Drosophila melanogaster: one gene and its partners. The protein of the gene in region 2 interacts with the protein of the main gene of each other region in a pairwise test. Each region holds a gene or a part of one and is shown on either strand. Other genes may lie near its edges. The genes, in order: CG5023, Ccn and Dus3.

What was found.
Region 1: the proteins of Ccn (region 2) and CG5023 interact in a two-hybrid assay, tested with the Drosophila melanogaster proteins (one large-scale study listed by BioGRID).
Region 3: the proteins of Ccn (region 2) and Dus3 interact in a two-hybrid assay, tested with the Drosophila melanogaster proteins (one large-scale study listed by BioGRID).

What each region holds. Positions count from the first base shown.
Region 1 is NT_033777.3:20,167,492-20,171,247, forward strand, and holds the start of CG5023 (uncharacterized protein), read left to right. Parts: upstream 1-1,943; 5' UTR 1,944-2,023; coding exon 2,024-2,029; intron 2,030-3,756.
Region 2 is NT_037436.4:17,688,253-17,692,008, reverse strand, and holds the start of Ccn (Ccn), read right to left. Parts: upstream 1,995-3,756; 5' UTR 1,534-1,994; intron 1-1,533.
Region 3 is NT_033779.5:19,757,042-19,760,797, reverse strand, and holds the start of Dus3 (dihydrouridine synthase 3), read right to left. Parts: upstream 1,920-3,756; 5' UTR 1,887-1,919; coding exon 1,855-1,886; intron 1,797-1,854; coding exon 1,646-1,796; intron 1,595-1,645; coding exon 1,294-1,594; intron 1,216-1,293; coding exon 1-1,215. Other genes in the region: CG10628 (uncharacterized protein), read left to right, coding at 2,225-2,266, 2,326-2,848, 2,907-3,493.

The DNA of each region.
Region 1 (3,756 bases), on a different chromosome or scaffold from region 2:
GAATAAGCAAAAAATAATATTTAGTGATTTATTGAAGGTTATCTTAAATTATAGTTGAATTGAAAACTTTTAATAATAAACATTAATTAATTTTGGTAATAAATATAACATTTGCATATTAAAGGTATTTATTTCATTATAAGAGCTCACTTGATAATATATTTTTTTACTGGAAGCCGTTTAAAATATTTCTGTGATGGATCAAACATTCAGTATTAAAACCTATTTGGTTTCAATCGATGCAAATAATTATTTATGAGCTATTGTTTTGGGTAAATTAATTTTTTCGAATATTTGCCTATTGTAATGAAAAGCAGGAATATTCTAGCTAGAGGCATTTCTGGTTTCCAGTTTGGAAAATGAGTGTAATTCGTTATTTTCCAAATTGGAGAGAGCATTTGCAGTTCGTATATCACATTTGCGATGGAGTGCGCCCACCCCCTCTCCGTGTTCACATAATTCCGATGCTTTTTACACAAAACGATTTCGATTGCCAGATCTTGGCAGCAAATGCTGAGACTTGGGGCCACTTTTTGTAGGTCGATGTTTTCGGCGGACTGACGCCCACGCCAATGCCTTCACTTTGACATAGACTCATCCACTCATAGACCCACAGATACAGCCCCAAATAAATAGATGTCCACAATCAGAATCGCACTCACACCAACACGCACGTTCTGTTCTGACACTGAGCTCCGAGTTGCTCAATTAATTTTGATTGCAGCCTTGGCAGCTGTTTTTGCTTTTACCCTAGGTGTTTTGTTTGTGCTGCCGCCCTCACACTTTTCATCGAGGACTTTCCACAGACATAGTTCATGGTTAAGTTCATTTGTCCATAAATTTTCATATTCGAGCATTTTGTTTTCGTTGTGTGTGAAATAAATAAATAAGAAAATTATTCATTCGCTTGGGTGAGAAAAATTCATTGAGCGTTTTTAGATGAAGCGTGAATATACCACAAGGCTGAGGTTTATCAAAGATTCTGCGATTCACTCGGTAATTGTAAAATTGTAAAATGCAATTAATTAAACCAAAGTGGATTTATGCTTTGAAGCGAATAATTTGCTAAGCTGAGCATTCATCACTTATGCTATGGAAGAATTTAAAAAAGAAAATCACAGATTTATGTGTGCCAGGTGTGAAAAGATATGCACATTCACGCCCTTTAAAATTTGTTTATGTTTATTTTGAGTAGATTTTATGGAGCACCTTGCCTGAAAACTTAAACTTGAACTTGGCCAAATGTCTGACTGGATAATTAAATTACTCTATCGCAGAGTGCAGCGAAATAAACAAATGAAAGCCTTTAAACTTTGTTGTGTTTGCTTTTAGCCAAATTATCTGGTGCTAAAACTTTGTCATATGGGAAAAAGTTTTAATGTAATTGCAAAATGATTTTAGTTTCACTAGATTTTCGGCTGAAATAAAAAAAATGAAATGGCTTTATTGAAAGTTTGGGAATATTTTTGAGAGTGATCCGCACTTATTGCCAGTGGGATTAGGTGGAGCCCACACAAATATGTATCTTTGGGATACAAGTATGCGCTTTTGACTAAGCATAATTGCTGGCAAATTGCTTGAAATTTGTTCTGCCAACCATGAAAGCGAAAGGGAAACGACTTCAATACCAGATATCTGGCACACTTCTGTCTGAGATAATTCTCAATCTTTTTTTTTATTTCCCTCCACTTTTCACGCGGTGACGTCACAAAGAGTTTCCGCCGGGCATCCGCGGTTTGCATCTAAATTTGCTTTTCCCGCTCCTTCCCTGCGTCACCATGGTTTTATTTCGGGCGATTTTGGCATCGGGCAAATCTATATCTGCCCGCTGACGTCGACGTCGACAGAAGCGGCAGCGGCAGCGGCATTAGCCTAACCTAAAATCGTTTTCAGCATTTTCGTAAATTATCTTAGGCCAAATGGAAAACTGTTTCAACAAACCTGCGTCAGTTGAAATTTGTGTCTCAAACGCGCCACACGCTAATTTGCATTTGCATTTCACTTTCAAATCTAATAATTCACAATGGCTGTAAGTTCCACAAGCTTCGTAAAGGATAATTAAGTGTCCTGGGTGTATTAAATTAAATCGAGCAAATTATTATTATAATTTGTATTATTGAGTATTTGATACATTTTGGATTTTTCTCTAAGAATGTCCGAGTATCAGGCTTAATTGAATTGCCAATTTCCTCATTTTGGATTTTTCGTTTCCGATTTCTCTTTCAAAGTGAAAAAAGCCTGAAAAAGGCTGCCTCACAAAAAAAAAAAAAATTGAGCTGATATAATTGTTTATGAAATAAAATTATTCAACCGTTGATAGTAGAAAAGTCACGTAGTTGTGAATATACCCATTCAATTAATATGCACACTCGTTCACAGAGAGGTATCAAATAAAACGAAACAAATAAGGAAATCAACAAATTAAAGTGAAGCGAAAAAAGTGCGAAGTAAATACAAAATACATTTTTGAAAAAGTGCCAAATATCAGCATATTCATTTGTATGAAAATGCTTATTAAAACAATATATTGCCCGTTGATTTATGCCTTTATATACATTTACGTACGTTTATAAGCAGTAATCAGCTCACACAAATGCATAAAGCAATCAGTGTTTGTATGTATTTATAATTAAATAAGCAATTAAAAGACAAAATATTTAATTGCAAACAGCGCGAGCGATTTAATTAAAAATTTCTTAAATTGGTTAAATATTTAAATAGTCAATTAACATTTGGCCCAGACATATATTGTGTGGATTATATACATATTATCCTACTTATTATCCTACATTGTATAACCAGATCCTGATGCCAGAGGCTCATGTAGAGTTTTCTGGCCAAGTGATTTCAGCTACGCCCACTCGCAGCAGCTGCCAGATCATAATTCATTCTCATATATCGCGTATTTGTGCTATTTATTTCCCCTATATATTAAAATAAAAAATCACTTAGTTGACAGTCTGGCCGGGGGATGACAAATGCCCTTGGGCCATTGGGCCATTGGGATGCCCGGTAGTTAACCAGCCATTAATTCCCATCGAATCGATGGAAAAGAGTGGCCTCCATTTGGTCGCAAATCACTCAGGACGCAGGACTTTACAATTCAATACAAACAAATTACGCATTTCATGCATCATTCGGTATTCGGCATTCCTTTTGCACTTTCGATTCATAATTAATTTGCGAATTTTCCGCTGTTGACATTTGTCTCTCAATAATGCTGACAAGTTTTTGCGACAGACAGTCAAAGCCACTGGGCCATAACTTTGTTCTTAATTGAACTTAATTATTTGCTGAATTATGCGGAGTGATGGCACAGATGCATAAAAAAACATTTGGCGACCGGTGTCTTTGGGGGCCATTGGATTTTTTTTTTGTTTCTTTGCTCTTTGACTGATTTTACTTTTTATAATTAATTCCCGCCGACCTGGTGACAGTTTGTGTTGCAAAAACTTTCAATTTATGAATACAAATTACGATGTGATACATTTTTTAGCAGCAGTGTGCATTTATTATGAATGTTCAGTATTTTTTTTTTTTTGAACGAACGCCATATGCTTATAATATATTTTTTAAGTCCCCTTTTCTGTGTAGTATAGTTATAATCATGACCTTTTTTGGTCACTCCGGACTATGACATATTTTAATTAATGCATATATATTTGCGGGTTTTGATTTATTGCATTTTTAAGGAAAAATTCTGTAATGATGACTTCATGCTTTAAACAAAATTTGGAATTTCGAACAATTTCAATG
Region 2 (3,756 bases):
ACAAAATTAATCTAGTCATCTGTTTCTATATTTTGAGTATTAAGTTGCTTATTTAATCGAGTATTTCAATGTTTTCTTACTTGATTCAAATTCTGGATGGTTATTTTTCATCGAAACGCTTCGTAAAGGTTTCTTATTTTTTACGGCCATCGAAGCGAACTTTGTCTTGGCTTTATTGTTGCTACTGTTGTTTTGGGGAATATTCCAATTTTGTTGGTCATAAATTTTAGCGAGACTGGCAAATGAAAAGCACAGCGTAAAAGAAAATATTTAAATTTCCTCGGTTTCCCAATTTTTTTTTTTGTACATTTTTGGCAGCCCTTTTTTCCAGTTCGGTTGAAGGGAGCGGGAGTTCTGTGAGAAAAAATCTGCTTAAATGTACTTCCGTCATAAAATAACGGTAATGCACAGCAATGTGCGTCTGTGGGTGTGGGCATGTATGTTGTGTGTGTGTGTGTGTTGGTGTGTTTGTGTGTGCATGGCTCACGTAGCAGGACGAGCAAGAAAAACCTTTTTATAAATGTTGGTTCGCAGCTTCCGCAAAATAATAAAACAAAAAGGCAGCTGCCAGGACATCCCCCGTCCAAAGGCAACTGGAAAGAATGCTTTTAAATTTGACACACACACCGCACACACACACACACAAGCACGCACTTGGCGAAAAAAAAAATTAATAAATTTTGTGCAACAAAGTTGCCTCTAAGGCACCGATTCGCAACCGACCATGAACCCACTTCCCCGCGTTGCTCACTTCGGTTTCAATTTTTTTGTTCTGTTTTTATCCTTTTTTGTGTTCTCTGTTTGTTTTGATGGCCCAAAACTCGGTGCGGCAACATTTGTTTGAAGTTTATTTTGCATATGTTTATTTTTGTTTACGCAATGTTATTCCCCTTTGTATTATGTCCTTTTTTTCTGTTTGCTGCAGTGTCAATTGTCGCATTGGCATGCGAAACTTTTTTTCGATGGGTAATTTAAAAAAATATACCGCATTTTTATTTTTATCAAGAGAAATACATCATTTACCGCAATATAATAACAAAAGAAACTATTTATCTCATACTCTACTCATACCACCACAAACTTGGCTAAAAAAAAAATTAAATGCCTCACATTAATGCAAATATTTAACACTTAACACTCCCATTAACTTTTAATTGGAAGCTTATCGCTTTAATATGGTAGCTTTTAAAACAATAAAACAATGACGTTCGTTTAAAATTACTTCCACACTTGTGCTTCAAATTTTTTTAGGGTTATATATTACCTATTAATCGATGCTTGCTCAATGCACGAACTAATTAAAATTGTCCAACGTAGAAACAAATAATCAGCACAAAATTCGTTCAACTAAAAACAATAGATATTTGCTAGTGCATTGAACCTCCATTTTTGCCACATTATGTAGATTTATTTGAAGCCAATGGCACAAACGTCAAAATAAACGCATTAACACTGCGGTCAGTGTTGATTAAACTTGTATTTTTAGCAATATTATAATAAAATATTCAACAATAAGTATACCATTTGACATACCTTAAATTAGCCGGACTTTCTGCCCACACTTTTGATTTATCGAGGGGGTTCAGAGACCCCTGGCAGTGGCAATTGACCACTTCACTGGCTGCTCGTGTATTTGTTTTTCTACTTCTAGGTACTTTTTTTTATTATTTTCCTTGTAGATACGCCCGCAACACACGTCAATTAACCTACTTTCGTGCTGGCAGGAGGGCTGGGCAAAAAACCCCAAACATAATATAACCACTAGAACAATACTCGCAATACAACGAATGGGCCAAGTTAATTTGCTTAGACTTTTGTTTTGGTTTCTATCTTTTTTTATTCGCCTTTTGTCGTTTCGATTGCTCAAAGTATTTCCGGCAACACACGTACACACACCCACGAGGGACACTTTAGCCGGCTTTTTTGCCTTCTTGCGCCAAAATCCAATAAAACAGTCTTAGAAGACCAGGTGATATCGCTCATACGACGCGTGTGCCGTGCAGCACGAACGAGTGACAAAAACGAACTGAAACTGAGGACGGAGGACTGAATTCAAATCGGAGTCCAAGTTGGCTGACCAACTGCGCATGCGTCACTTTTAGTCAATGAAAAGCTTCGTGCCACAAGACATTTGCCGCCAACAGGACTCCGAAAATGGCACTCGTTTTCGGAGTAGTCTGTTGCTGATGTTGCTTTTGGTGTTGCTGTTATTGCTGTTGCTTTAGGTGTTGCTGCTGTTCCTGTGGTTGTTGTCGTTGTCAGCGGCAACATAATCATCGGCGCGTGTTGCTCACTTTGTTGGCAGACGACTCGCAAACCGAAAACACAGCCAACAGAACGCACAACAGCAATCCTGGCGCACAATTCGCGCAACGTCATGTCAACGAGACAGTCGAGACAAATGCCACAGATCCCCTGCCAAAAGGACACCCCTCTTCGAATCCTTGAACCATTTTCAGGCCCACCCATTGTCAATTGTCTTGTGGGCTTAATGCTTCTTTGCCTCTGTGTTTTCCCTTTTATTTCAGCGCTGTCTGTTTAATTTCTTTTATCAACAAGCCGAGGTCTGCAGGCTTCCATCCTTCGTGTCCTTCGTGATATCCTCTTGTTGCGTCGCCCACACTCAATTGCTTATCAACTATCGGTGCATGCAGACGGCCTTTTGTAATCGCCAGCTTATTTGATTTATTGCCCTCGCTTTTGATTACAAATACATATGTGCTTAAGTTAATTGAGACTATACCACTTTTAAATTTTTGCTTCTTTTCTGCTTACTTTTTCATTGGCCAACATTATGTTCAAGGAACTATTGCATATTATAGATAATAGGGCGAATGGTTCACTGAAACATGCTCTTAAACCTCGCTGACCTCTCGCAATGGTCTTAAGCTTCGTATCTGGTCAGGTAAAGCCCTTGTAATCGCCTGTTAACTTGACATGACGATGCTTAACTGATTTATCTGTCTCATGGCTAAGACCCGGGCATTGATAGACATGATGGATGGACGAATCGATGAATGGACGTGGTCGAGGAGGGACAGGAAGTGAATTCTTGGTCCGATGAAAGATTGGCGAAGCTTTTTGCTACTTTCCAAATTAAACCGCTTAGTCGAGCGTTTAAATTTAATGCATTTGAGCTGCTTAGCCTCGTCTGCAGTTTATGTTTTTAGTCTATTTGCACACCATCCGACTGCACTTTATCGGCATCTTTACTTAGCCAAATTGCATCTTGGCCTGGTCCAGTGTACAGACTTCAATACTCTCGCATAAATTGCGGTTCTTTGTGTACAGCATTTGTGATTTAACAAGCAGGGTAAATAAATTATGCAAAAATACACACCGAATCGCAAAGAATTCGCCACTTGTTGAAAGTTCCGCCCCGGTATTGGTTGAATACAGTGTATCTCTACATTACACAATGGCATTACGGCTGATTATACTCGTGTAAGACTCGTTATTTATTATGAAAATCTGCTAGCTCAGAATTTAATTTAAAAGTTTGTGGGTTTCGTCACGGCTCAGGCAAATACAATTTGCAATTTCACAAATTTTAGAAGGGAACAAATCTTAAATACGCCACAAAATATGCCATCTTCTGACCATGGAGGACCAACAGGAGCGGCAGCTTAGATGGCGAGTGGCGTTGGGAGCCGCTTAAGCCTCCGGCCGGTCCATTTTAATCCCTTTTAAATTGATATTGTAATTGGTTTTTGTATGTAGTTATGAATTTCAATATGTCGGCCGGGCTTACCCTCT
Region 3 (3,756 bases), on a different chromosome or scaffold from region 2:
CCATTTCGTCGCGTCCGCGGTACTTTTGCGGTCGAGCGTTGATCTTTTGCGGCGGTGCGGTCTGCAAAGCCTCGGGTATGTATCGGTACAAGAAGGACTGCCATTCGAGGAGGAATCGGCGAGTGGTCTCCACGCCCTTGGTGTCTGAGCCCCAGTGCTCCAGTCCGTAGTTGCAGAACTTTTGCAACATCTCGTAGCGTTGCCCGGACGATGGGGACCAGGCCTGTTTCTCCTTTATCTCTTGGAATATCCAGGGCTTTATTAACGCGCCGCGTCCAATCATTACGGAGCAAACGTGAGGCGCCAGCGTCCTTCGCTCCATGTAATCCTCGTAGCTGAGTATGTCGCCATTGCCGATCACCGGCATGCACTTTGCCTTGGCGGCACACTCCTCGATGTAAGCCCAGTTGGCGTGTTTAGTGTAGCGCTGCTCCCTGGATCGCCCGTGCAGGGTCACCGCCGAGGCACCCCACTCTTCAACAAGCGGAAGAAGTTCGTGCGCTACGCTCTTGTCTGCATAGATGCCGGTGCGCATCTTCACGGTGAAGGGCAGGCGGTCCGACAGGGCTGCACAACTCCGCACTGTCAGCTCCAAGATATTGGTTCGTCGCATCAGCGCACTGCCACCGCCTTGCTGGTAGATCAGATCTATCGGGCAGCCAATATTAAGATCAATGAAGTCCACCTGGGCCGTCTCATGAATAACCTGCGCCGCCTGGTTGAGCATGTTGGGATTATTTCCGCATAGCTGGACTCCAAAGACATCTTCGCTCTGGTGTCGCTTGGTCAGGGCCCACTCCTGGCCCATACCCTTCAGGAGAGGCTGAGCGCAGGCCATCTCGCCACAGGTGATGTCTGCACCGAATTCCTTGCAGATCCGGCGGAAAGGCAAATTGCCCAACGTGGTCAGTGGCGACAACACGAGTTTCTCGCGGAAATCCACGGCGGGCTTATGGTCAGCATCTCTGCCGATAGCGGAATCATCAATTGCACAACCAGTGGCAGTTGGTTTACTCTTAGTATCCGTCTGTTTTTCTGCATCTAATATCTCGGTGGTTTCACTAGGTTGTTTTTCTCCAGTCTCTTCAGACGGATTCTTTTCCTTCTCCTGTTGTTCCTTTAGTTTTCGGGCATCCCTCAGCTTTTCAGCCATTTTAATAAGCTCCTTGCTCCGACTGAAGTCATATTCATGTTTTCGTAGACGCACTTGGAGTTCTGAAAAGGGGTTCAATTAATGAGTTTATCAAGGTACTTTAGTATCAGTTAGCTGATAGGTGCAGAAGAATTGCCCACCTGAACTGACGCCATTGCATGTGGTTGGAGGAGCATTTTCATCGTAGTCCTCCCTTTTGAGGTTCCTGCCCTGTTCATCAGTGTGGGCCTTTGCAAAGCGACAACTCACACCGCGGGCACAGTAGCCCTTGGTGGTGTACACATAACATTCAGGGCCCAAATCTTCTCCCTTGGCGGCCAAGTAGGCGTCCAGGTCGTGGACATAGCGACAGTTGGCCAGGGAACAAGGTTCTCCACCGGTTCCATCGATCAGCGAGTGGCACAGATGCGAGTACCGCTCGTCCTTGAAAACTGGGCGGTTCTAAAAATACGATATTTTGTATAGTATCTATATTATATATTATTGACGAACCTTGTTCTGTCCGCGTTTGCGTTCCTTTTTATCCCATTTCTTTTTTTCACCGGCTTCCACTTCTCCACCGTCCTCGCGTTTTCTTTTGTTTGTGTCGCTGTTTTCGGTGTTAGCTGCAGCACTGCCGCCATCGGCTTCAGTTACCAGGTATCTAAAAGGTATAAAGAGTGAATTGAATTAACCAAATATTCGCCATTAAGCTTACTTACTCTGGTTTGATGTAGCAAATACCGGAATCCATTTCACAATAAACAATCGCACGTGTTGGTATGCGTCTTCTTCTACCTTGTTTTTGTCAATCAGCTGCTTGTGATGATTTATCGATAGAAGAAAAGATATTGGTCGCGTTCAGCATAACTGTGAATTGAATGGATTTCACTGGTTATTAACTAATAAATACTAAAATTAATCCACGACTTACGTGGCAATGATGAGGTCTCCTCCACCCTTAAATTGGTAATTTAGAAGTTTTTGCCCGAGCTAAATTAGATGACACCGATTTATTTCCCTCCGTGGTCACAGTGAATCAGTCACTTTTTGCAGGTCTGCTCATCGCTATTGTATAATGCCGCCTGCGCGATGGTGCAAATCTTTAAATTCCTGTTAAAATCCAGCAAATCTGTGAGAACATTACTATTATACCTAAATCAAAAGTAATATCAAAAGGTTTTAATGCCCAGACCGGTCGTGCCCACTTCCGGCCCACTTTTCTGGACACACTGCGCCTAGCGGTTCGTGGAGGACATGGTGGAAATGGACTGCCCAAATACGGAGGAGTTGGTGGCCAAGGCGGTTGCGTCTACTTGGTGGCAAAGGAAGGACTCACCCTTCGCAAGGTCGTCCAGGGATTGAAGGATAAGCGAGTGGCAGCATCCAGTGGCGAGGACAGTAGCAAAGCCAGCATCTTTGGACGCCGTGGAGCTGACCAGAGGATCGAGGTGCCTGTGGGCGTCCAGGTATATGACGACCAACAAAAACTCATCGCCGACCTCGACGAGCACGAGGCGACATGCATTGTGGCGGGCGGAGGTACTGGCGGATGCACGGCCACAAATTTTCTGGGACGTCCCGGGGAGAATCGCACTGTAAATCTGGACCTAAAGCTAATAGCAGATGTGGGTCTCGTGGGATTCCCCAACGCTGGCAAAAGCACCCTTCTTAAGGCCGTGTCCAATGCCAAACCAAAAATTGCAGCTTATCCCTGTGAGTTATTGCTAGATCAAGTTGGTATTTAATCATTAACTAACAACTCCTACCTCAGTTACCACCATCCGACCCCAGATTGGAACCATCGAGTACAGGGACCTGCGCTCCATCACAGTTGCCGATCTTCCCGGTCTGATCGAGGGCGCCCACGCGAACTTCGGCATGGGTCACAAGTTCCTGAAGCACATCGAACGCACCCGCCTGCTGGTCTTCATGGTGGATATATTCGGCTTCCAGCTGAGTCCCAAACATCCGCATCGCGACTGCTTGGCCAATGTGTATGCGCTCAACAAAGAGTTGGAGCTCTACGATCCATCGCTGCTGGAGAAGCCCAGTGTCCTGCTGCTGAACAAAATGGACAAGGAGGGTGCCCACGAGATCTTTACCAAAGTTAAGCCGCTCGTCAGCGATTTGGCCAGCGGACTTGAACAGTGCCCCGAGGAACTGCGTCCGAAACAGGTGCTCAATTTCGACAGCATTGTCCCCATATCGGCCATGAACTCGTCGAAGATCACGCAAGTGAAATCCCAGCTAAGGAGGACCCTGGTGCGGCTGGCTGAGAAGCAGTTCCTGGCGGACGAGGATCAGGTCAAGGAGAAGCTAAGACAGCGCGTTGGGGTGGTGGGTCCAAAAATTACCTAGTTGTTATTGCAAATAGTTTTGTGAGCGGCTTAAGAAATTAAATTAAATTTGTAGCAGCGGAAATGTACTGCAAACTGACTTCTTATTCTTAAATTAGTTTTTCTACAAAATACGAAAGGCAGTAAGACAAGAAGAATACTTCTTATAAAGCATCCTGTGTGTTTAATTCTTTGTCGGAAATCAATTTGAAAACTTTACCAAGAACTGAAATTAAAAATTGTTTCTAACTTTGTTACTGCAGTAAGTGAGTAAGATTCGATAGA